Solanum lycopersicum: one gene and its partners. Each later gene encodes a partner of the first gene's protein in a complex. Links are inferred from orthologs where the notes say so. Each region holds a gene or a part of one and is shown in the gene's direction. Other genes may lie near its edges. The genes, in order: large ribosomal subunit protein bL34c, large ribosomal subunit protein bL31c, large ribosomal subunit protein uL5c, large ribosomal subunit protein uL4c, large ribosomal subunit protein uL1c and large ribosomal subunit protein uL15c.

Region 1 (3,096 bases):
GTTGAATGGACTTGTGAATTACACCTTTAATTTTTAACTCATGTTGTTTATATGTTTCTGGTTGGGCTGCTAGTATTGAGTCTCCTAATTTCCCCTACAAAAGATTTTTACTGTCATTCGGGGACGAATGTTCCTAAAGGGGGATAATGTAACACTTCGAAAGTCCATGACCTAATCTAGAGATTCATATAATGAACCAACACTTCAAAAACTGTTTATTTACCTGAAATACTATATTTAAAGTATTTAGGAAGTGTTAGAGTCAAATGTCAAGAAATGACCATGACGTTCGATGATTGTGAAATATGCACTCGTGTGCCTTGGCATGTTGCATAGAGGTTTAAGAGTCGTAATTTAATGAAAGTTGGTAAAAAGGCGTTACATATATAGAAGAGAGTATTTAGGGTTGAAATGTACAGGTACGACTCCCCAAGGGCCACCCTAGGGGTCCTTGAGGAGGACCCTTCCATTTGGACCCAAAAGTTGTCAATTGACAGTGTACAACCACGAGCCAAGCGAGGAGTCGTCGTTTGATCGACGCTCCGTAGATGGCCTCATAGGTTGACACTTATTCAATTGGCCTGGATGCTCCAAAAATCAAGTCTCTGTCCCAAACAACGACCAGCAGCACGGGGCCGTTGATGGGACTACAAGGCATAGGTCGAGGAGTCGTCGACTGGGTTTGTTTTGCTGTCAAGTTTTTAAGTTGGGGATTTGATCAGTTAGTTAGTTAGTTAATTAATTAAGGGTTAGGGGGTGGTTAATTAAGTTAGTTGAAGGACTATATAATACCTAAGCCTCATTAAACTAACCTAACACCCCACAATTCCCAAACTCAAATCCTCTCCAACTTCTCTCTTCTTTCTCTCTCTATTGCAAGACCCCATTGAAGAACAATTCAAAGCTTGAGTAGGACTTAAATACTTCAAATTTTATCCATCAAACACTAAGTAATCCTAAGGTATGAAAGATCTACACTCTTGGGATCTCTTTCCCCAAAAGGCTCTTGAATTTGGGTCAAAATGATGAAATTGGATAATTTTAGTAAATTTGGAATTTTCATCCAATTGAGGGGCATAAATGATGAAAATTAGTAACGACAAGAGTAAAAATAATTTCCTTTTAAGGTAAAAGACATAGTAAATCAATAAATAAAATTGAAAAATATTTTTACCCTTTCCACTTTAAATAAAAGTGTTTTACTGTGTCAAACCCTCTCTAAATCCATCTTTAACCCGTTTATCTTTTCGGATTACCTAAAGAGTCCCTTGGATTGCAGATAAGGCATCAAAACCTCTTATAGATAGACAGAAGAGTAAGAGGGAGAGTTTTGAAAGAGAGAAAAAATGGCTTCTTTGTCAATGGGAAGTTGGGTATGTTCAGGAATAGGAAACCACAGACCATCCGCTTCGCTTTCTCTACGTACTGGTTCTTCAACAACGACTACTTCTGTTTCTTTGAAAATGGCTGCTAATGCCTCTACTCATTCTGGGTTGCTTCACTGCTCTTTTCTTCCTTCCTCTGCACTCTCTACATTATCTTCTTCAACATCCTTTTCTGGTAAGTTCCATAAATTCTCTATCTTCCTTTTCAATTTTGATGTGGAAATTGAAAATGTGAATTAGAGATTTCAGTTGTTATTTGAATTGGTAATGTGGGGTTGTTTATTGATTCCTGTTTTAGGCAGGTAGTATTTTCATTTGAATTGCTTCTTTTGAGAACTCCTTAATAGGCAATTATTCGCTTGTGTGTATCTTGAGTCCTGTTAAATTATATACACTCTTTGAAGGTACAAGGGGGAGACAAGAGTAGGTTGCAATTCTTCATTCTGATGTTTAGTATTCCATATAACACAAATTTGTAGTGTCTATTTGTGGTCTGACATTGCTGTGCTATTGAAAAAAAGTGAATCGTATTTCTGATTTTATAGTCAAAATCCATTGGTTAAAGCTAGATTATAAAACAATTGAACCAAAAAAGTTTCAACAAAGAGGAGACCTTTAAGGTCCAAAAGACATATGATCAATTTCATATTAAATTGGCATGATGAATAGTAGCGAGCTAATGGTTTAATATGTGGTGTAGGTTCATCATTTGGCATTGGCTTCAATTCCAACATTGGAGTGAGCACCACTAAAAGGCGTGGCCTGGTGGTGCAGGCAAAGAAGTATGCTCTTTGTCAGACTAAGAGGAATAGGTCGAGGAAGTCGTTGGCTCGAACACATGGTTTTCGCAAGCGTATGAGCACCACCAGTGGCAGAGCAACTATCCAGCGAAGACGTGCAAAAGGCCGATGGGATCTCTGCCCAAAGTCTTCACCTAGAACTGGAAAACGAGCTTAATGTTTATTGTTTTCTTGCAACTGATTTTTGTTGGTAATATGTTAACTATCTTTTTCAGAATTTTGGGCTGCTGTAATTTTCATCTGTTTTATTTAAAGAACTAATTTACTAGTTTCCATATTTTTGTATTGTCCACTCTTTCATTGATTGGTTTTTGCTTTCTCCTTCTGATCTTGTTCATGAGTCTGGTCAACAAATCGACCCTGAGAAATTTGTAGACTCAGCAGGTTTTCATTTGTCTGATTCATCATAGGGCTTTTTCAGAGGTCTAATGTTTTCTTTTGTTTTCCATTTGTCATTGGAGAAAGTATTATAAGAAAGTTGCTCCACCAAAGAGGGGAATATGAGACTGACATGTTGAGGTGTTTTATGGACATCGATCGAACAAGGCCCTTATGTAAGGGTGCTATATTGTTCTCACAAATCATTCTTCACATGTTGGGTGAGCTTGGATTGTAACTGCAGTTATTTGGAAATTTCAGAATTGCATTTGTGTTACTAAATTTTGCTTCGTAACTGAGGATTTTACTAGTATGCTGCAGGATCATCCGGCTGTTGGCATGTGTAAGTTGAAATACAATTTAGAAATGTGCCCCAACCGAACCAGAAACCGACCTGTCTATGGTTTTTTTCTATAAATTAGTAGCTCGGAAAAGACAATATATGTAATATTCTATTTCTCATCAATTTGGTAATGCCGGACGTAGGTATAAGAAGCATACTATCCTAATGCATGAGAAGTTTGTATGAGCGA
Region 2 (2,906 bases), on another chromosome or scaffold:
TTGGCAAAACAACAAAAGGGCCTGGCTTTACACCACAACAAAGAGATATAATCTTCAACACTGTTTATTCCTCTATATTTTCATCAGCTAAAGGCGGCGGCGCGGCGGCAGGAGGGTTGTTTTGGCATGTTTTGGCTGAAGGAATGGATTCATTTAAAGATGGATATGAGATTATATTGAGTGAAAGTTCATCTGTTTCTGATATTATTATTCAGCAATCTAAAAGGCTTAATAAGATTAGAAAAATGTATGCAAGGTTGAAGAATATAGAGAAGTGGAAGAAAGCAAGGAAATTAAAGGATTAATCATGAGAATTAGAGAGATTTAATTTATGTTAGAGATGAATTAATTTAAGTTAGCAAGAAGTTAGATAATGTTTTTTTTTTTTTTTTTTTGGTAATGTACTGCTCGACATGTTGTATGTCAGAGGAAGTATTCTAGTAGTGATTTATTATGCCTTAAAAAAAACATCGATTGTATCGATGTATCTAGTGTAATTTCATATGATTTTATTTTATGAAATTGAAGAGTTTATTTTTGATAAATTAAGATATTTCAAAGCATATTAAAAAAGAAATATAATAGTAAAGAAATTATTTTTTTTTAAAAAAAAAGATTAATGAATCAATACAACGTGTGGGATAACAAAAATTGAAAGTAGGACAAGATAAATAACTTGGATTTGCTTATGGCGGTAAGCACAACATCACTTCTGTTTATTCAAACACTTTATTCTTATCAAAGATTATAATCGAACTAAGTTATTATCAATCATGCCTGGTTGAATTAATCTTTCAATAATATGTAAAAAAAAAAACAAAAAACTATTTGGTAAACTCTAGATACAAAGGAAAAAGGAGGATATTTGATTTATAAATTGGCCAATTTGTGTTACACGTCTCGGAGAGGAGAGACCGATAGTATTAAATTCAATGGTCAAGAAGTCGTAATTGACACTCTATACATGGTGGGTGATATGAGTATAAATATAAATAATCTACAGATAATATTTTATTAGCATTATTTCTCCAGATGGTTAAGACTTGGAACTTTTAAGTTAGAGGTCTTAAGTTCAAAATCACTTGCCAGCGAAAGTAAATTCTGGGTTGAGCTCATCGCACCGAATTTGCCTAATGCAGATTATTTCTCCTATGTGATTTGCGAACTAACGTATAGGAGCGGGAGTTTTACCATGTGCCCACCCAAAAACAGCGATTACTTAAAAATAAAATAATAAAAATACTTTTGAGATTAGTCAAACCTTTTTTCTACTAGGGTAAATGATATTTTTACAACAAACAAGTTTTTCTTAAAAAAATATGCAATACTTATGCAAGAAATCAAATTAGTAATAACGAATCAATAACTAATCCCAAACAACCCTAACGAGTTTAATCCATTTTTGAAAGAGTATTTACATAAATGGGCCTTACCTACTCCTTGGGCTTCAAGTAATAGCCCAAAAGTAACATCATACAAAACTAGCCCAAGTAGAGCCCAATCAAATATACAGCCCAATATCCTCAGATAAGCAATCTAATCTTCAACCCGTTCCTCTTTTTCTCCATCTCTCATTCTTCTTCTGCAAAAATACCAACAATGGCGCTCACTCTCTCCAACACTTTCCTTCAAAAAAATGTCGCTCCTCCTTCATTCTCCTCCAAGAAGGTAACTCCCCAAAATCTCCATACCCATAACTTTTTTTTTTTTTTTTTAAAAAGTATATGATTGTTGAAAAATTGAATTTTGCAGATGGGAATTGGGAGCAATCAAATGCGATGGAGCTGCAGGAAGAAGGATATACATCCGCAATTCTACGATGACGCTAAGGTATATTGTAATGGAGAGCATGTGATGACAACTGGGGGAACAAAGAATGAGTACACAGTTGATGTTTGGTCAGGTAATCATCCTTTTTATCAAGGTAGTCGTTCACAGCTACTTCTTGATGCTGACCAGGTAGAGAAATTCAGGAAGAAGTTTAGTGGGTTAACACAGATTATGCAAATTCCAACTCTCAAAGGAGAGATTGTGCTTCCTCCTAAGAAGAAGAAACCTACTAAGAAGAAGTAGACTTTATTGTGTGTTTGTAATTCCCTTAGTTCGTTTCGTAAATGGGGAAATTGTTGGAGAATTAGGGGTTTTGTGTATTTTGTGTTTGTATTTTGATGGTTTCAGTTGTGAACTCAGTCTATTATTTGAAAATGGAAGTATAAAAATTCAGTCTTTGTTCTTCAAATTTTTGGATTTGCTGTTGTTGTTATATGGTTCATCAATTAGTTGGGCTGGTAGAGCATTTAAGTTGAATCCAGTGAATTGTCTTGCTTTCGATTGCCATTATTGCTTCGACTATTGGAATGTAATGAGCCTAATAGAGCTGAATGGATACAAAAAAATTGTGTTAACTTAAAACAGTTTGGATCAGGTGTAGTTCATTGATCATAGTTTACGTTCAATAGTTTCAAATGAGTTGTCTTTCACCCCTTTACCTGATAAACTGAACGAAACTTGTCCGTTTTGCACTATCTTGGTGTAATGTTATACCTGTGATTGGAAAGGCTGATTGTTTCAGGGTTTCAGCCGTCCCTTGAATCCTTGACAAAGTAAAGATGAAATAAAGTCTGTTATAGATTTGGTGTCTTGTCTTTTGTATGGTTGCATTAGCCAAGCGTTCTAATGTTAGTTGTACTGGTGCTGTGGTGCACTTCCATTCTTGCAGTTTACTGTGTAAAATGCTTTTTGAGAGTTGTCTATCAAGCTGGCTGGTCTCTTCTCATACTAAAAAAGGGAAGGTGCCGGTTTAAAGCAAGTCACATAGGTTCTTAAGAAAGATTTTTTGTTCTTGTAAAGCGAACTCTGCATTCAATTTATTAATCTATGTCTTTATTCCTTTACCCTGCTCTCGT
Region 3 (3,681 bases), on another chromosome or scaffold:
ATATTCTATAACTCTGAATTTAAAATTTCTGATAAAAATATATTCGTACTTTCTACTCTACCACAACTTTTGAGGTTCCAATCCCATTCGATGTGAAATTCTTTTATTTTCACCTTTATTCAAGGTAAACTCATCCAAAATAAATAAATTATAAACGAAGTTCAAATAATCTAAGTAAATACAAGTATAGAAGAAATGAGCGAAATTAGGCTATAAATGTAAACAAAGACATGCCAGTGAAGAAACTGGCTAAATAATAAAGATTAGGTTTATTTAATGAAATGGGCCACTACGACGTTAAATTTTCAAAAAATTATCCAGCCCACAAACCAATTTAGACTTGGGCCTACCTCATTCCAGTCTAATAGACCCCAATATTTTCTTGGTAAAAATTTTTGTTGGGCCAATAAAATTTGATATAGTAAATTTCATATATAACAAATACAAAATTTATATTTGTATGATATAGCAAAGTTTGTATACTTGCGCTCGGTGACAAATATAAATATGCATAATTCCCTATATACATATACAAAGAAAGCAGTTGTATAATTCACTATACATATACAAAAGAAAGCAGTTGTATACAAAAGATAAATTGTATAATCTGCCATTTGTGTATGTATAAAACGAGAAAAAGAGAAAGACAAAAGAAAACTGAGCAGGAGAATATTTGTTTTGTATAATTACAAGTGTATAGGACGAAGATATATGTATTTACATGTGTATATACAATTTTCTCTCGCTTTATACAAACAGAAATGCAATTTATACATTTCGTTTCTGTTTGAATAAGCGAGAGAGGCGAGGGAGATTCGGGAGAGTGGTGAGTGAGATTTGAGATAGGTGAACAAAACTATATGTATCTATACAATTTTCTCTCACTTTATACAAACGCAAACACATTTTATACAATTGTGTTTGTATAAAAAACGAGAGAGGTGAGTGAGACTGTCACAAAACGAGAGTGGCGAGCGAGATTCCACCAGGGAGAGTGGCGGAAATAGCAATAGTTTGCTATAGGGTACAATTAAATCAAAGTATATTTATAACATTTAATTTAAATTAACAGTTTGCTATTATATACAATTTTCCTGATTTGATACGATCTTCATTCAATAATTTTTAGCCCAAAACTTAAGCTAACATTTAACCATAAATTTCATCATATGTTTGGCTTAATTTTTGGAAACATATTTCACTTTTTTTAAGAAATGTATACTAATAAGTTTTAAAAGTTATCAAAACTAACTATAAGTTTGTATTGCATAACAAAATAGAATAAAAAGATTCACTATCGTAACAATTAGTGTCCATGTCACTGAAGCAATATGGTAATTCAGAGATAGTGCAACAAGCATCATTGCATACATTATGAAGTAGACGAAACATATTGTTCGTCACTTTTATCAATAATCATATCGTCATTTTCTTATTTACTGAATATTACATCATTATTTTGATGTTCACGTAAAAAATTTTACTTGAAAAATCTATGGCGAAATGGATCCGAATTTTTTTTACTTAAACATTCACAAATTAAAATTTAGTAGAGAGAACTCTGTTATATCCACAAAGAACATCTTATCCAATTACCCTTTTATTTTTCACACACAGAGAGAAAAAGCTCAGAGAAAATGGCGGCTTCTCCTCTTCTTCTACACTCCACGGCCTCCTCTTTCTACAATGCTGAGTTTCCGGCGTACTCCGTTCGATTGCCGGTCGGAAATACCAAGGTCCGGTCGTCCAATAAATTGACGGTGAAAGCTTCAGCAACAGTACTAGTGGATAAAAGTGAAGCTGAAAAAGTTAATCGTCTGAAAACAAATTACCTCGAAAAGATTGTGCCGTTGTTGAAGGAAGAATTCAGTTACACCAATATTCTTCAGGTAAACTTAGGAGTCGTTTGTCCATTGCATTTTTTTTCCAGAACAGATAAAAATTAGGGCTTGGGAAAGGGAAAATGGGGGAATTGAACAAATTTTTCAGTTTTTAAAAAAGCTTAGTGCAGGTTCAAACACAAATTCAATTTTCAATTATACTTTTCAAGTTAATTTCAATTTCAAAGCATATGTACTTCTTTAGCTTCAAATTTTACAACTTATATCTACAAATTTGAACTGTTTCTTGTTTGTTTGATTAAATGTTGAATTTTAGAGTTGAAATGCTGAGAAATTAGTTTGTTTGACACTATTATCATTTGAGGAGTGAGAAATCACAGTGAATATTAGTTGCATTGACCTATTGCTTCAAACTCTATTATTATTTTTTAGTTTTAATTTGATTTGATACGGAATGTGGAAAAACCGTGTTTTAGGTTCCGAAGGTCGAAAAGATTGTGGTAAATTGTGGTATAGGAGATGCTGCACAAAATTCCAAGGGTTTGGATGCAGCAATGAATGATTTGGCCTTAATTACAGGGCAAAGGCCTGTGAAGACTAGGGCTAAGAATGCTATTGCTACTTTCAAAATTAGAGAAGGTCAACCGCTTGGAATTGCTGTTACACTTCGAGGGAATGTAATGTATTCGTTCCTTGACCGGTTAATTAATTTGGGGCTTCCTCGAACGAGGGACTTTCAAGGCGTAAACCCCAATAGCTTTGATGGTCATGGAAATTATAGCATTGGCTTTCGTGAACAGAGTGTCTTCCCAGAGTTAAGTTATGATGCTCTTGGTAAGCCAAGAGGGATGGATGTTTGCATAACAACAACAGCTGAGACAGATAAAGAGGCACACAGATTGTTGGCTCTCATGGGTATGCCATTTAGAGAAGGTTCTGGTGGACAGACAACTTTTACGAAAAAGAAAAAGCTTAGAGCTCACCATTTTGACTCGAAGGCGAAGCAAAGGTCTAGGAGATGAGGTGGATCCAATCTCCAGGGATAATGAGTTGATTTGTTGTTTTTTAACTGTTTTGTGGTTTATCAGTTGTTTTTGGCGTACAATTTGAATAGAAAAATCTGTAATTGCACTTTTACCATCTGGCTGGTGATGTCTCGAATATATGTTATTTACGTTTTCTTCCTCTAAAAAAAAAAAAATAAGAATTGTTTTTATCTCTAGTTAAGTTTTTACTATTCATGAATCTTGATTACTGTAATTTGTATGTTATTAAATATTTCCTACCCGCTCCCTTTTCTCGTCTGCCATTTACTTTGATTTCAGGCAAAGAGTTTCTCTTGTTAGCTCCACCATATTCACATTTAGGTGAGTTAACATCTCTGCTTTTATCTTTTATCGTATGTGATAAGGAGTATTTGCGGGCGATATCTTATTTACGTTTTCTAAATTTGTCCTAATGCTTAACACTTGATGTGTGTGAGGCTGTGGAGTCCCATACTTATTTCTACTCCCTGATCCCCCACCTTTCTCCTTTCTTCCTCTAAGGTTTATTTATATTCGCATATTAGAAAGTCACAGTTATTTATAGTATATACCATGTTGCTGAATCTTTATTCCCTTGGCTTCATTTTATTCTGCTCAAATTGTACAGAGTTTTTTCTTTCAAAGTGTGTATGAATGTGCTTTTTAGTGGTTTCAGGTTCTATGTCATTTGATTTGGTTTTAACCTGTTCTTGTAATGCTGCATTCTGATTTTGCTAGATCTCCATACTGGTACTCCAAGATAGATATCTAAGCCTATTCTTTGGTTGTTTGCCGCCCCTTAAAAAAGGAAAAAA
Region 4 (3,687 bases), on another chromosome or scaffold:
CCACATATTGTAATAATGAAAATCTTGCACTTAGCAATATTGAGAACGATGTTTTCATGTCATTTCTTGAAGAACCAGAATTTGAGGCAAGTGATGAAGAGTTATTAAGAAGTGTGATTGAGTCATTAGAAGTAGAGAATATTGTTCCTAGTGTTAATACAAATGATTCAATTTTGTTTGAGCAAATGAAAGTAGAGAATTCAACTAATTTGTCTTGTGATGATCTTGGTGAACTTGAATATTGTTGGATTGATTCAGACATGGATTCTTCAACTCCTAGTGATGATGATGATATGAATATTTGGTTCAAGGATTGTTACTATGATCAAAATGGAGTTGAAGATTTCACTAACTTTGTTGGTGCATGTAGGGAGTTTTCTTGGGAAGAATCTTGTGAATCTATGCTTTATGCGCCTGATGTCTGATATTCATATTGGAGCTCAACTAATCTGGATTCACATTAGTACTGAGGGATTCATTGTTTCCTCGTAAAGGTGACTTTGTACTTTGAAAGATTCAAATCTGAAATCTCTAATTAAGGATGAAGGAGTACTTATAGATAGTCATTGAGATAGGAGTATTGATTAAGACGTTTTTCATGGCAATTGTAAATCCCATATTAGTATAAATTCTTTTTACTAAAGACCTATGAACTTTCTGTTGCTTTTAATTCAATGTGGAATAAGCATAGCTTACCTAATTTTAGGATGTAAGCTGCAGAACCTATTTTTATGGTACATTTGAAATTATTAGTTCAAAATTTAATTGAGTTTGTTAAGTTTCAACATAAGTGGAACGAGGAGAAATTGATTTCTTTATATACTCTTGAACAATCATATCTCCTCGATTTATCTTTTGAATTGAGTTAAATCTAATATGGTATTGAAGTTACGTCCATCTCACTTCATTATCATTTAATATTAGGTCTCCATTTTATATTGCTTACATTCATGATATCTGACCATGAACGTGCAAAGGAGCGTTGAGTCTTAAATTGATTGATAAGCATAAATAATCTTGAACAATTATTTCCTCTTGAGCTAGCTACGATGTTACAGTTAGATTAGATTCAAGGTTTGTTTTCTTAACCGAATTCAACATACGAGTTGGGCTTAGCGTATCATGGAAAAATTGGAAAGGGAAGGCAATATGTAGCAGGCTGCATCAATAGCGCCTCAAAATAAAAGAAAATGAAGGTTTTGGGCTTATGATGGTGTAGCCCCAACTAACAAAAGACTTGATCAAGAAAATTGTATAACTTTTATATTATATCAAAATTAATAAAAATAAAGAGCACATTTCATAAAAATTTTATTTGTCGCTTACGCTCTAAAAAATTTATTTTTTTTCCTACACAAAAGAAGATTTAATTATGTTCTTAAAGTATTGTAAATTAAATAGACATGCCCTTCAACTCTTCGTCAATAGTTTGGCTTATATATGACCTTATCATTTTGAATGTGTTATTAGTCTAAATGAAACATTTGATTAACCTCATTTGTTGATTCATAAGTGAAAAAATTATCAAATATACTCTGACAACGATAAGCATAGAAAGAATAGAATATTTGTAGACCTTATCACTATCTCGTAAAGCTAGAGAGTCTGTTACGTCGTAAAGTTGAAGAGTTCATTGGCGCAAAAGGATCGGTCCTTCACTTGCTGATCGTTCGCAAGTCGAACTCGCTCTCTTGCCACGCCTTTCACTCACTCGCTTGAGACGGACTCAATCACTCTTTGAGTTTGGAGGATTCACTCTCTTGTTATTACCCGCAGGGAGCGCATGTTTCCGCAAATATGTCCCTAAATTTATCAAATATGTGCTCAATTTCAAATACTTTGAGGGTATATATGACTTTTCCATTTTCACTAAATTTATTTGAACAAAGAATATGAATACATTTTGATATCCTTCTTCCTCATTTGTGGATAACCCAATCCATAGGCTTGCAGTTTGCTCCTTCACTGCAAAAATGGCTACTTCTTCTTCTTTATCTTTCTTTTCTTCCACCATTTTCTTCTCTAACTCCAACACCCTTCACTCCTCAAAGCAGCAGCAGCAGAAACAACTCATTTTCAAACCCAAACAACAACAATTCTCCATCCGTTCAGAGGCCGCCGCCGCCACTATTCCAATTCTGTCCTTTGATGGTACCGAAGTGGGCTCCACCACTCTCAACTTAAAATCCGCCCCTCTTGATACCGCACGCGCCGTCGTTCATCGTGGGCTTACCACTGACCTGCGCAACCAACGTCGCGGTACTGCTTCCACCCTTACCCGAGCCCAAGTACGGGGTGGTGGTATCAAACCATACCCACAAAAGAAAACGGGTCGAGCTCGACGTGGGTCGAACCGAACTCCTTTACGACCAGGTGGTGGGGTTGTGTTTGGGCCGAAACCTAAGGATTGGTCAGTTAAGATTAACAAAAAGGAAAAGAGACTCGCGATTTCTACTGCGCTTTCGAGTGCTACACAGAATGCCATTGTTGTGGAAGAGTTTGATGATAAGTTTGAGAAACCGAAGACTAAGGAGTTCATTGATTTGATGAGAAGATGGGGATTGGACCCAAAAGAGAAATCTTTGTTTTTGATGACGGAAGTTTCAGACAATGTGATTCTCTCCAGCAGAAACATTAGCACATTGAAGATGTTGACACCCAGAACTTTGAATCTTTTCGACATATTGGATTCTGAGAAGCTGGTTTTCACTAAATCAGCTGTGGAGTTCTTGAATGAACGATACGGAAATGATGATGATGATGATGATGACTGGGAGGTGGTGGACGAGGAAGAAGAAGATGGTTAGTTTTTGCTTCATTTTGGGTATGAAGTTTCCTTTCAATTTTAGCTAACTCGTTAATTTGCTGCATTCAGGTGGCGAGGTGGAGGAGAGTGCTGAAAGTTCTGAGTAATATATGAACATGGGGCGAAAAGGGTCTGTTCCATTTTAGAGGAGGCTTTACCTTACAGGGAGCTTAGTATATTTCACTTTGAATTGTATTTTATTGTATGATAAAACTAGGTGATTTTGGTTGATTTCATGTCACTGACTGCATTTGTCCATTACCTTCGTTGGAATAGTTTACTCTTGATTTTCGTTCCGCTCTCATTACCACTTTGAGTTCTTGATTTTTATGATAAGAGTGATTAGTTACTTTACTAATTAAGTCTTGTGTTCTGGCAAAACTACATTAATTGCTTAGTAGATGAAGCTTTATATAAGATTTATGGGTTACAAGTTGTCAGCCAGGCGAGATTCAGCAAAGTAAAATGATTAGGAAAGCTTTGTGTTTGAGTCTTAGGCTTGAAGCAATTAAGCAAAGTTAAGAAAAGGAAACCTTTATTTGGGTGGAAAAAGCTTCATCACCTTTTTCTTTAATACAAACACAAAGTAATTGGCAGGAAAAAATGCTCTTTACTTTGTTTTGAGTCATTGGGGGCATATGGGATGCTAAGCATTATTAACCTTGAAACAGACCATATCTAGTAGACTATCTATGGAGGCAGATAACTTGGACATTTGTACTATCAAAATATGTGATGGAGAGTATATGAGTATCTCTAGGCTTTTACTAGAACTTTTGAGTTTAAGCGCTAATTGCTACTCTGCTTTTAGCCTCAAAATAGAAGGTTTGAGAATGAATCAATGGATTGCACAAACTATCTCATTGATCAATTTTACATAT
Region 5 (2,714 bases), about 25 Mb from region 1:
GGAGCTGATATAGTGGGTGGGGAGGATTTGATAGAACAGATAAAGGGAGGATTTATGGAGTTTGACAAATTGATTGCAACACCAGATATGATGCCTAAGGTGTTTCTACAGTCTTTGCTATTAAAAATGTCTGACTTGCCTTTGATGTTCAATTTGATCTCCTTTTTCATTTTTTATACTGTCTTCGACAACCAGCCTATGAACTTCTGTCTCTTGGTTTTAAGAATCTCATATTGAAGTTTGCACAAGGCAAAGAGCGACTGTCTGTCTCAAATAATTCAGCATATCTCGCTCCCAAAGTTTTTGTGCATGCGTTTGGGCCTTGTCAACCTGGATATATAACTTAACAATGCGTAGCTTGTTCTGAACCAACTCACTTGACCTGGTGAAAAGCTCTAGCTGTTGTATCTTTTCTTCTGAAAATACTTCACAACTAAAATAATGATTTGGTTGAATAAAACATATTTTGTTAAATTCTATCATTCCCTTCGGAGTCTTTCTCTGTCATTCCATGTTCATTTGTTCATATATTTTGCTAGGTTGGTGCTCTTAAAATTCCTTGACCTCAAAATCTGGCTAGTCAGCATCTGCATATTTTCTAGCAAGCCTTCTTTCTGAAAAAGTTAAATCATAAAATTCTGTTGTAACATTGTGCATGAGTTTTACATTCTTCATGTGCCATATCTTGGAACAGCTTCTGCATTGTATATTTGTGAATTATGGTCCATCTTACTTTATCATAAATCTAATGCTGCAGGACTGATGGCAATATTAAGCCTAACTTAAGCTGAGTGATTAATCGCAGAGGCTCCTCTCCCCGTCTTACCATTTTAATGCTCACTGACAGCTGATTCAAAAAATTGAACCTTTTTAAGTGACTTGTCTAGAAATTAGTTTTATTAACACCTGAACAAGTATCTGTGGCTCATTTTACGTAATTTTTTTGTGAATTCATATTGATACATTCTCTACTATTTGCGGCAGGTTGCTAGCTTAGGTAGGGTCCTTGGTCCTAGAGGACTCATGCCAAACCCAAAAGCTGGTACTGTCACTACAAATATACCTCAGGTAACGTGTCAAATATTTTCTTCTTGTGAAAAAGTTGAATCAAAATACTCTCTTTCTTATGTTCTATGTGCAATGGTGGAATCCCTAGATCTTTATATTAAATGGGAAGCCACACCATATATATCCTAGCTTGGAAGTTATTCAGAGTTAACAAAATGTGAAACAATGTAGTTAATGAGTAGGCAGTGATGATTCACTTAATGGACTATTTTCTTGCTCCTTGAAAATGTTTTCAAGTATGTAAACTTGTTGTACTTCCTCCAGGCTATCGAAGAATTCAAAAAGGGTAAAGTAGAATACCGAGCAGATAAAACTGGAATTGTTCACTTGCCATTTGGAAAAGCAAATTTCTCGGAAGAAGATCTTATCATAAACTTCATTGCAGCAGTGGTAAGTTTTATCGTTAGCTCCTATTTCTTATACTTTTGTTCCAGAATAGTTTGAATATACCAACAACAACATACCGAGTAAAATTCTAAAAAGTGGGGTCTGGGGAGGGTAGAATGTATACAGACCTTACAACTACCTCATGGAGGTAGAGAGGCTGGTAGAAGCCATTGTAAATTAATTCAACTGCATTTCTTTGAATGAACAGAAATCGGTGGAAGCAAACAAACCATCAGGTGCTAAAGGAGTTTATTGGAAGAGTGCACATGTATGCTCGTCGATGGGGCCATCCATTCGGTTAAACGTAAGGGAGATGCTGGAGTACAAGCTTCCGAATGCTTAATTGAGCGAGACATGTATATTGTATCTTCTATCATCTACCTAAGTTTCTTCGGCGCCTTATCAGAGCTTCCATTTTATGAGAGTTAGGATACAAAGTAGGTGGAGTTTGAAAGGAGATCCAAACTTCATATTGTCAATATCAGTGTGGAAGCATTCATAGGCACAGTTGCTAAGAGAATAATTTTGTTTGATATTGTCAATGTTTATGTTCAGTTTAATTCTTACTAGGTGCTAATGTACATTATGCTTCGATTTGCTAAAAGGGGAGCTAATTCAATTTTCAGAAGTTTTATATGCTGCAAGATTCTCTAATTTGTGTTCATCTCTTGAGATTCTGCCAACAACTGATTGAGCTGAATAAACCTATCAGTTTTTAGTATTTTTCTTTACTTTACCACTGTGGAAAAGGGTCATACGCATGTACCCATGGGGTGGTAGTTAATTTTTTAGGATAATTTTTGTCCTTCATCACTTGCGATAACAAAAAAGTCGTCTGAAAATACTCTTAACATCGAAAATAAATAAATAAAATAAAAAACCACAAGACAATTTTATTTTTTCGTATCTAATCTAAACAATTTATGTCTCTTATTCCTAAAGAACGAAGCATAAAAGTTCAATTCATAATGCCTTATTATAAAACATAAACTTAGTTCTGGCATAACTCATGAGTTATGACTTATAAGACATAACTTAGTTTCTATGGAACTTATGTTTATCGAGAAATGTGTTCAGTCTTAAAACCCACAAAATCATGCCTCAACAGACTTAACTTATTTCTACAAGACAAAATGTTCTCTAAACTTACGCCTTACGAATGATAACATACAACTTATGTCAAATAAAACAACAAAAATCTCTAAGATTAGGTCATAACTAAAGACACTCTGATCCATAGACATGTACAAAAAGTTAAA
Region 6 (4,299 bases), on another chromosome or scaffold:
TCCATCTATATTTTCATTTATTTTTAAAGGATTCTGGTTAAGAATTATCTTGTTTTCTCCATTGCAATGACTATAGTTATATTTTTTTTAAAAATAGTACAGGAGGAAGAACATGAGTAAAAAGAGATGGAGGTTTGTGTGATTGTCAAATTTGTGTGTATATATATATATATATATATATATATAAAATAGAATACTTATATACATAGATATTTGTATTATAATATTAACACTCGTTGAAAATGGTGATTTACAAATACAAATATATCTGGATACATAAGTAATTTATCCAATTTACAAGATTGATTAGGCAATACAAGTACAATTGGATACATTAATACTATATTTTTATAAATACCTAAGTTAACACCAAGCTTCATGTATTACAGGATCACTTACCAAAAAGAGATTGGCAATTGTTATTTATCAATTTTTTATACAGGCGAATTCTTATATACTTTGATACCGACACATTCTATTATTTTCTATTTTTTTGTTTCTACGTTGTCCAATTTATCCATCTTTGATTTAGTAACACAATGTATTCATATGTATACTATATTGCATTCATTTTTTGAACAACAATAATGTATTCATTTTTCAAATAGCCGTGTTCATATGCTAATTGTCATACTTTAACTTGTTTGATATATATATTGATACATTAAATTCTTACAAAAACTTGTATCATTGATATATATATATATATATATATATATATATATATATATATACACTTTACGTTTTATAAATATAGATACTAATTTGAATTCAAAGTATTCATATACTAACTGTACACAATTAATACATTTTCCTTATTTAGTTTGTTGTAATTAAACTTGTATTACTGTATAAATAGAAAAATAATAATATTTAAAGAATTAATACAGCTAGAAAAAGATATAAATTGTATTCATTTTTTATAAATAACATACTTGTAGCTATTGAACTTTGATAAATCCTATAAATGTAGTCATTTTTATAATTTGCTGATTAATGAATGTATACAGAAATTTGGGCGGAGTAAGACAGGATTAAGGAGATTCTTTTAAATTTTCTTAAGCAGAACATTATAAGAGTAATCCTCATCGGAGTATAGCATGACGAAAGAGGAAGAAAAGAAAGATTACTATCTAAAAAAGAAGTTGACGAATTACTAATAACCCTCGTATAGAATTTATCAATGACTAAGTAATCAAACATGTTAGTAATTAATATGACTTGTAGCGAGCGTTTAGATCTCTCTTTCTTAATCATATGTTTCAAATTCAATCCCATAAATGAAAAAAATCAGTTAGGAAAGTCCCCTCTAAAAATGTGCCCAGTCGTGTGTGAATTCAAATTTTATTTAAGCCTATTACTAATATCAAACATCATGTTGGAAGCAAAAAAGACCACGATCCTCAAAATGAAGTGTAATACACACATATCGAATTAAATATCGAACACCTGATAATAGACTCGTAAACTAATTTAAAAAGTAGAAAAGAAAGTCCCTGAAATAACCACCCCTATCCGTTAAAATTTGTCAAAACACTTTTTGCTTGGACAGTGAACACAATCCTGAGTTCTCCCTTATCAACAATGGCGTCTCTACTCTCCATCTCCTCTGCATCACCTACAAGAACAAATTCAATCATTACCCAGTTTTCTTCATCATTCAAGGTACAATTTCTCCTCTTTAATTTTTCAATTTCTGTCAAAATTATACAATTCTCATTTATCCCCATCAATTTTTTTCAGGGTAATGTAAGTAATTTGAAGTCAAGTTCGAAGCTTTTGCCTTTAATAAAGGTCTGCAATTTGAAATCTAAGTCAATAACAAGAACCCCATTTGTTGTTTTCAACCAAACTGCAAGTTTTGGTGCTGATTCTGCAACTGGGAGTGTTCGTTTTCGGCTTAATAACTTGGGTCCTCAACCTGGGGCTACCAAGAATAGGAAGAGGAAAGGTAGAGGGCATTCAGCTGGACAAGGGGGTAGTTGTGGTTTTGGTATGAGAGGTCAAAAATCAAGGTCTGGACCTGGAGTTAGAAAGGGGTTTGAAGGGGGTCAAATGCCTCTCTATAGGAGACTTCCTAAGTTGAGAGGAATTGCTGGAGGTAATTTGTTAACATTGCTTCAACATAATTATATTATCACAGGGGTCGTTTGGTACAAGGGATAAGAGATAATAATCTCGGGATAAAATGTTGGATTGCCTTTGGTTAGGGGTATTAGTTAGTCCCTGAATATCTATCTTGTCATTTTTATAAGATAATGATAGGATAAGTTATCTCATATATATATGGCGGGATAACTAATTCCTCGGGATATACTAATCAATGGGATAACTTTGTCTATCTCATCCCTAGTACCAAATGACCCCTTAGTTTGAGTTGGATTTTGTTTTTCCTTGTTTTGTTGTTTGTTTCTGTGTCCATCTGCAGTGTTATAGTTTACCATTTAAAAGTCTATGGATAAGTGTTATAAAATTTATAGCTTTAACTTGACTATGTGTTCTTTTTTATATTTGTGTTCGGGGCACCTTGCATGCAGTAGTGTTGTCAAAGCTGTGCATAAGCGAGGTTCAAAATGTGTTGAGCGCTTTGTCTTGCTTAATGTGCTCTTCAGGGTCGTCATCAAGTTTCTTAGGCATTCTTTTGAGTCTCTTTAGGCAACACTAAACAATTGATATTTCACTTAATAGTAAAAAAAATAATTTCTTTGTTCATATATTTGTCATTCATGCTTACAATTATTATTCTTAGACTAAACAAACATATGTATTTGTATTTCTCCCTTTGCTCCTTTTTATATTAAAGATCATGCTTTATTCACGTTTTATGCTTAGTCCCAATGGTCCTCAGAGTTTTTTTGATTTGATAACACTGTCATGTACTTAATTCCACGGGTACCTGCTTCTTCCTGCCAACACTTGTGTTGGATATTCCTTTGCTACTTCATTCCTCAACTAATGGAATACAAACTCTTTTTTCTGCCCTGCCTGGTGTCATCCATCTCCAAATAGTAAATGCGCTGCTGAGCGGATAACTCTATCCAGAAAGGCTTGGATAAATGAATATTGAACAGGAGACATTATGGTTCTCAACCAACTCCATTAACAACTACGCCACTCACTTGGGTGCACTGTGTGTATCTTTGTTTACAAGCATGTTTGTTTTTCTTTTGGTTGTGTCATTGCAGAGGCAGATTTTCATAGGATGATAAAAAGTCTTATCTGCATCTGGTGGACATATGTGTATGCATACTCAAACTGTACTGATGATTAATCTAAAGAAATTTATTACAAATGATCAATATATTGCACTAAGAAATAAAGCTATGCATAGTTATATGACATCAAGGCAAATATCTTGAAATTCTTATTTTCTTATTTGCAATATTCTGAAATCCTCAACATTTTTATCTTCCTCTATAATCCGAAGACTGTTACCCCCTTATTTAAACTAAAAGGAAAGCCTTGATCGATATGAGAGAAATGTGCTCAAGCATCCAACCAGGTGTAACGTCTGTCAAGAAGTTTCTTACTGCAAAATGAACATTCTAGGAGCTCTCACTCGAACAAATGCTCCTTATGCCATCATAAACCGAATCAGCGGATATAAAATCTGTCCTTTCCTAACCTTCCCCTAGCAGGAAACTTATTTTAAAAGGAGGAGGATTTGGAAAGTTCATACTAAGGAGGTAAAAAGGCCCTCGAGTCAAAGGGCTATTCTTCCTTTGATTTGAAGAGAATGTCAGTGCCTTGACTCTCTAGTCTCAGTGTGGCTCTTGAGTAGTCTTCACTTTCCCTTATGCATGGCGTTTGATTAAGTATTTTCTTCAATGTCAAGTTGTTGGTATTACTAAGATGATTCATAACTGTCCTTTATTTTTGGCGTAACTTGTATCCATTCGCATTATATAATGCTGAACCTTGATACTCACACCTAGAGTTGTGTGTCAAAAAATAAGTTCTTACTTTTCTTAGGCCTTTCATACTGATTAGGCCTTGCCATGTCTAATTTTTATAACTTTGACTATTTTAGGCTATTCTAACTTAATAACTGAAGTAATTGATAGTGCTCTTTGTAAAACCTCCAATCTCGTCTTTTAATTTGTTTCATTATGTGTTTTGTTGATTTAGTTAAGGATTTCCCTCAAGTCAGGCTAATCTGTCAAAAGCAATTATCTACTACATGTTTACCACCTTTGCCACCCGTTCCTTGTATACTCAATATTGCTGACTATCAATTTCATTGACCGGTTAATGCATGAAATATAAATAAAGGACCATATTGATTAGCAGAAGTTTCTG

What was found.
Region 2: large ribosomal subunit protein bL34c (region 1) and large ribosomal subunit protein bL31c share a complex: the UniProt entries of both Arabidopsis thaliana proteins name them as parts of the 50S ribosomal subunit. The link is inferred for Solanum lycopersicum from reciprocal best matches to the Arabidopsis thaliana genes AT1G29070 and emb2184.
Region 3: large ribosomal subunit protein bL34c (region 1) and large ribosomal subunit protein uL5c share a complex: the UniProt entries of both Arabidopsis thaliana proteins name them as parts of the 50S ribosomal subunit. The link is inferred for Solanum lycopersicum from reciprocal best matches to the Arabidopsis thaliana genes AT1G29070 and AT4G01310.
Region 4: large ribosomal subunit protein bL34c (region 1) and large ribosomal subunit protein uL4c share a complex: the UniProt entries of both Arabidopsis thaliana proteins name them as parts of the 50S ribosomal subunit. The link is inferred for Solanum lycopersicum from reciprocal best matches to the Arabidopsis thaliana genes AT1G29070 and RPL4.
Region 5: large ribosomal subunit protein bL34c (region 1) and large ribosomal subunit protein uL1c share a complex: the UniProt entries of both Arabidopsis thaliana proteins name them as parts of the 50S ribosomal subunit. The link is inferred for Solanum lycopersicum from reciprocal best matches to the Arabidopsis thaliana genes AT1G29070 and EMB3126.
Region 6: large ribosomal subunit protein bL34c (region 1) and large ribosomal subunit protein uL15c share a complex: the UniProt entries of both Arabidopsis thaliana proteins name them as parts of the 50S ribosomal subunit. The link is inferred for Solanum lycopersicum from reciprocal best matches to the Arabidopsis thaliana genes AT1G29070 and RPL15.

Annotation. Positions count from the first base shown.
Region 1 is NC_090800.1:53,256,563-53,259,658, forward strand, and holds large ribosomal subunit protein bL34c, read left to right. Parts: upstream 1-1,219; 5' UTR 1,220-1,346; coding exon 1,347-1,560; intron 1,561-2,085; coding exon 2,086-2,342; 3' UTR 2,343-2,462; downstream 2,463-3,096. UniProt on the Arabidopsis thaliana protein: This protein binds directly to 23S ribosomal RNA.
Region 2 is NC_090803.1:66,609,205-66,612,110, forward strand, and holds large ribosomal subunit protein bL31c, read left to right. Parts: upstream 1-1,449; 5' UTR 1,450-1,599; coding exon 1,600-1,668; intron 1,669-1,752; coding exon 1,753-2,073; 3' UTR 2,074-2,239; downstream 2,240-2,906. Other genes in the region: mannan endo-1,4-beta-mannosidase 7-like, read left to right, coding at 1-305. UniProt on the Arabidopsis thaliana protein: Binds the 23S rRNA.
Region 3 is NC_090808.1:1,642,625-1,646,305, forward strand, and holds large ribosomal subunit protein uL5c, read left to right. Parts: upstream 1-1,468; 5' UTR 1,469-1,637; coding exon 1,638-1,889; intron 1,890-2,317; coding exon 2,318-2,863; 3' UTR 2,864-3,063; downstream 3,064-3,681. UniProt on the Arabidopsis thaliana protein: Binds 5S rRNA, forms part of the central protuberance of the 50S subunit.
Region 4 is NC_090806.1:67,227,665-67,231,351, forward strand, and holds large ribosomal subunit protein uL4c, read left to right. Parts: upstream 1-1,482; 5' UTR 1,483-1,973; coding exon 1,974-2,802; intron 2,803-2,875; coding exon 2,876-2,913; 3' UTR 2,914-3,102; downstream 3,103-3,687. UniProt on the Arabidopsis thaliana protein: This protein binds directly and specifically to 23S rRNA. May play a role in plastid transcriptional regulation.
Region 5 is NC_090800.1:78,436,299-78,439,012, forward strand, and holds the end of large ribosomal subunit protein uL1c, read left to right. Parts: coding exon 1-99; intron 100-984; coding exon 985-1,068; intron 1,069-1,332; coding exon 1,333-1,458; intron 1,459-1,663; coding exon 1,664-1,798; 3' UTR 1,799-2,109; downstream 2,110-2,714. UniProt on the Arabidopsis thaliana protein: This protein binds directly to 23S ribosomal RNA.
Region 6 is NC_090804.1:3,795,209-3,799,507, reverse strand, and holds the start of large ribosomal subunit protein uL15c, read left to right. Parts: upstream 1-1,391; 5' UTR 1,392-1,584; coding exon 1,585-1,665; intron 1,666-1,743; coding exon 1,744-2,101; intron 2,102-4,299.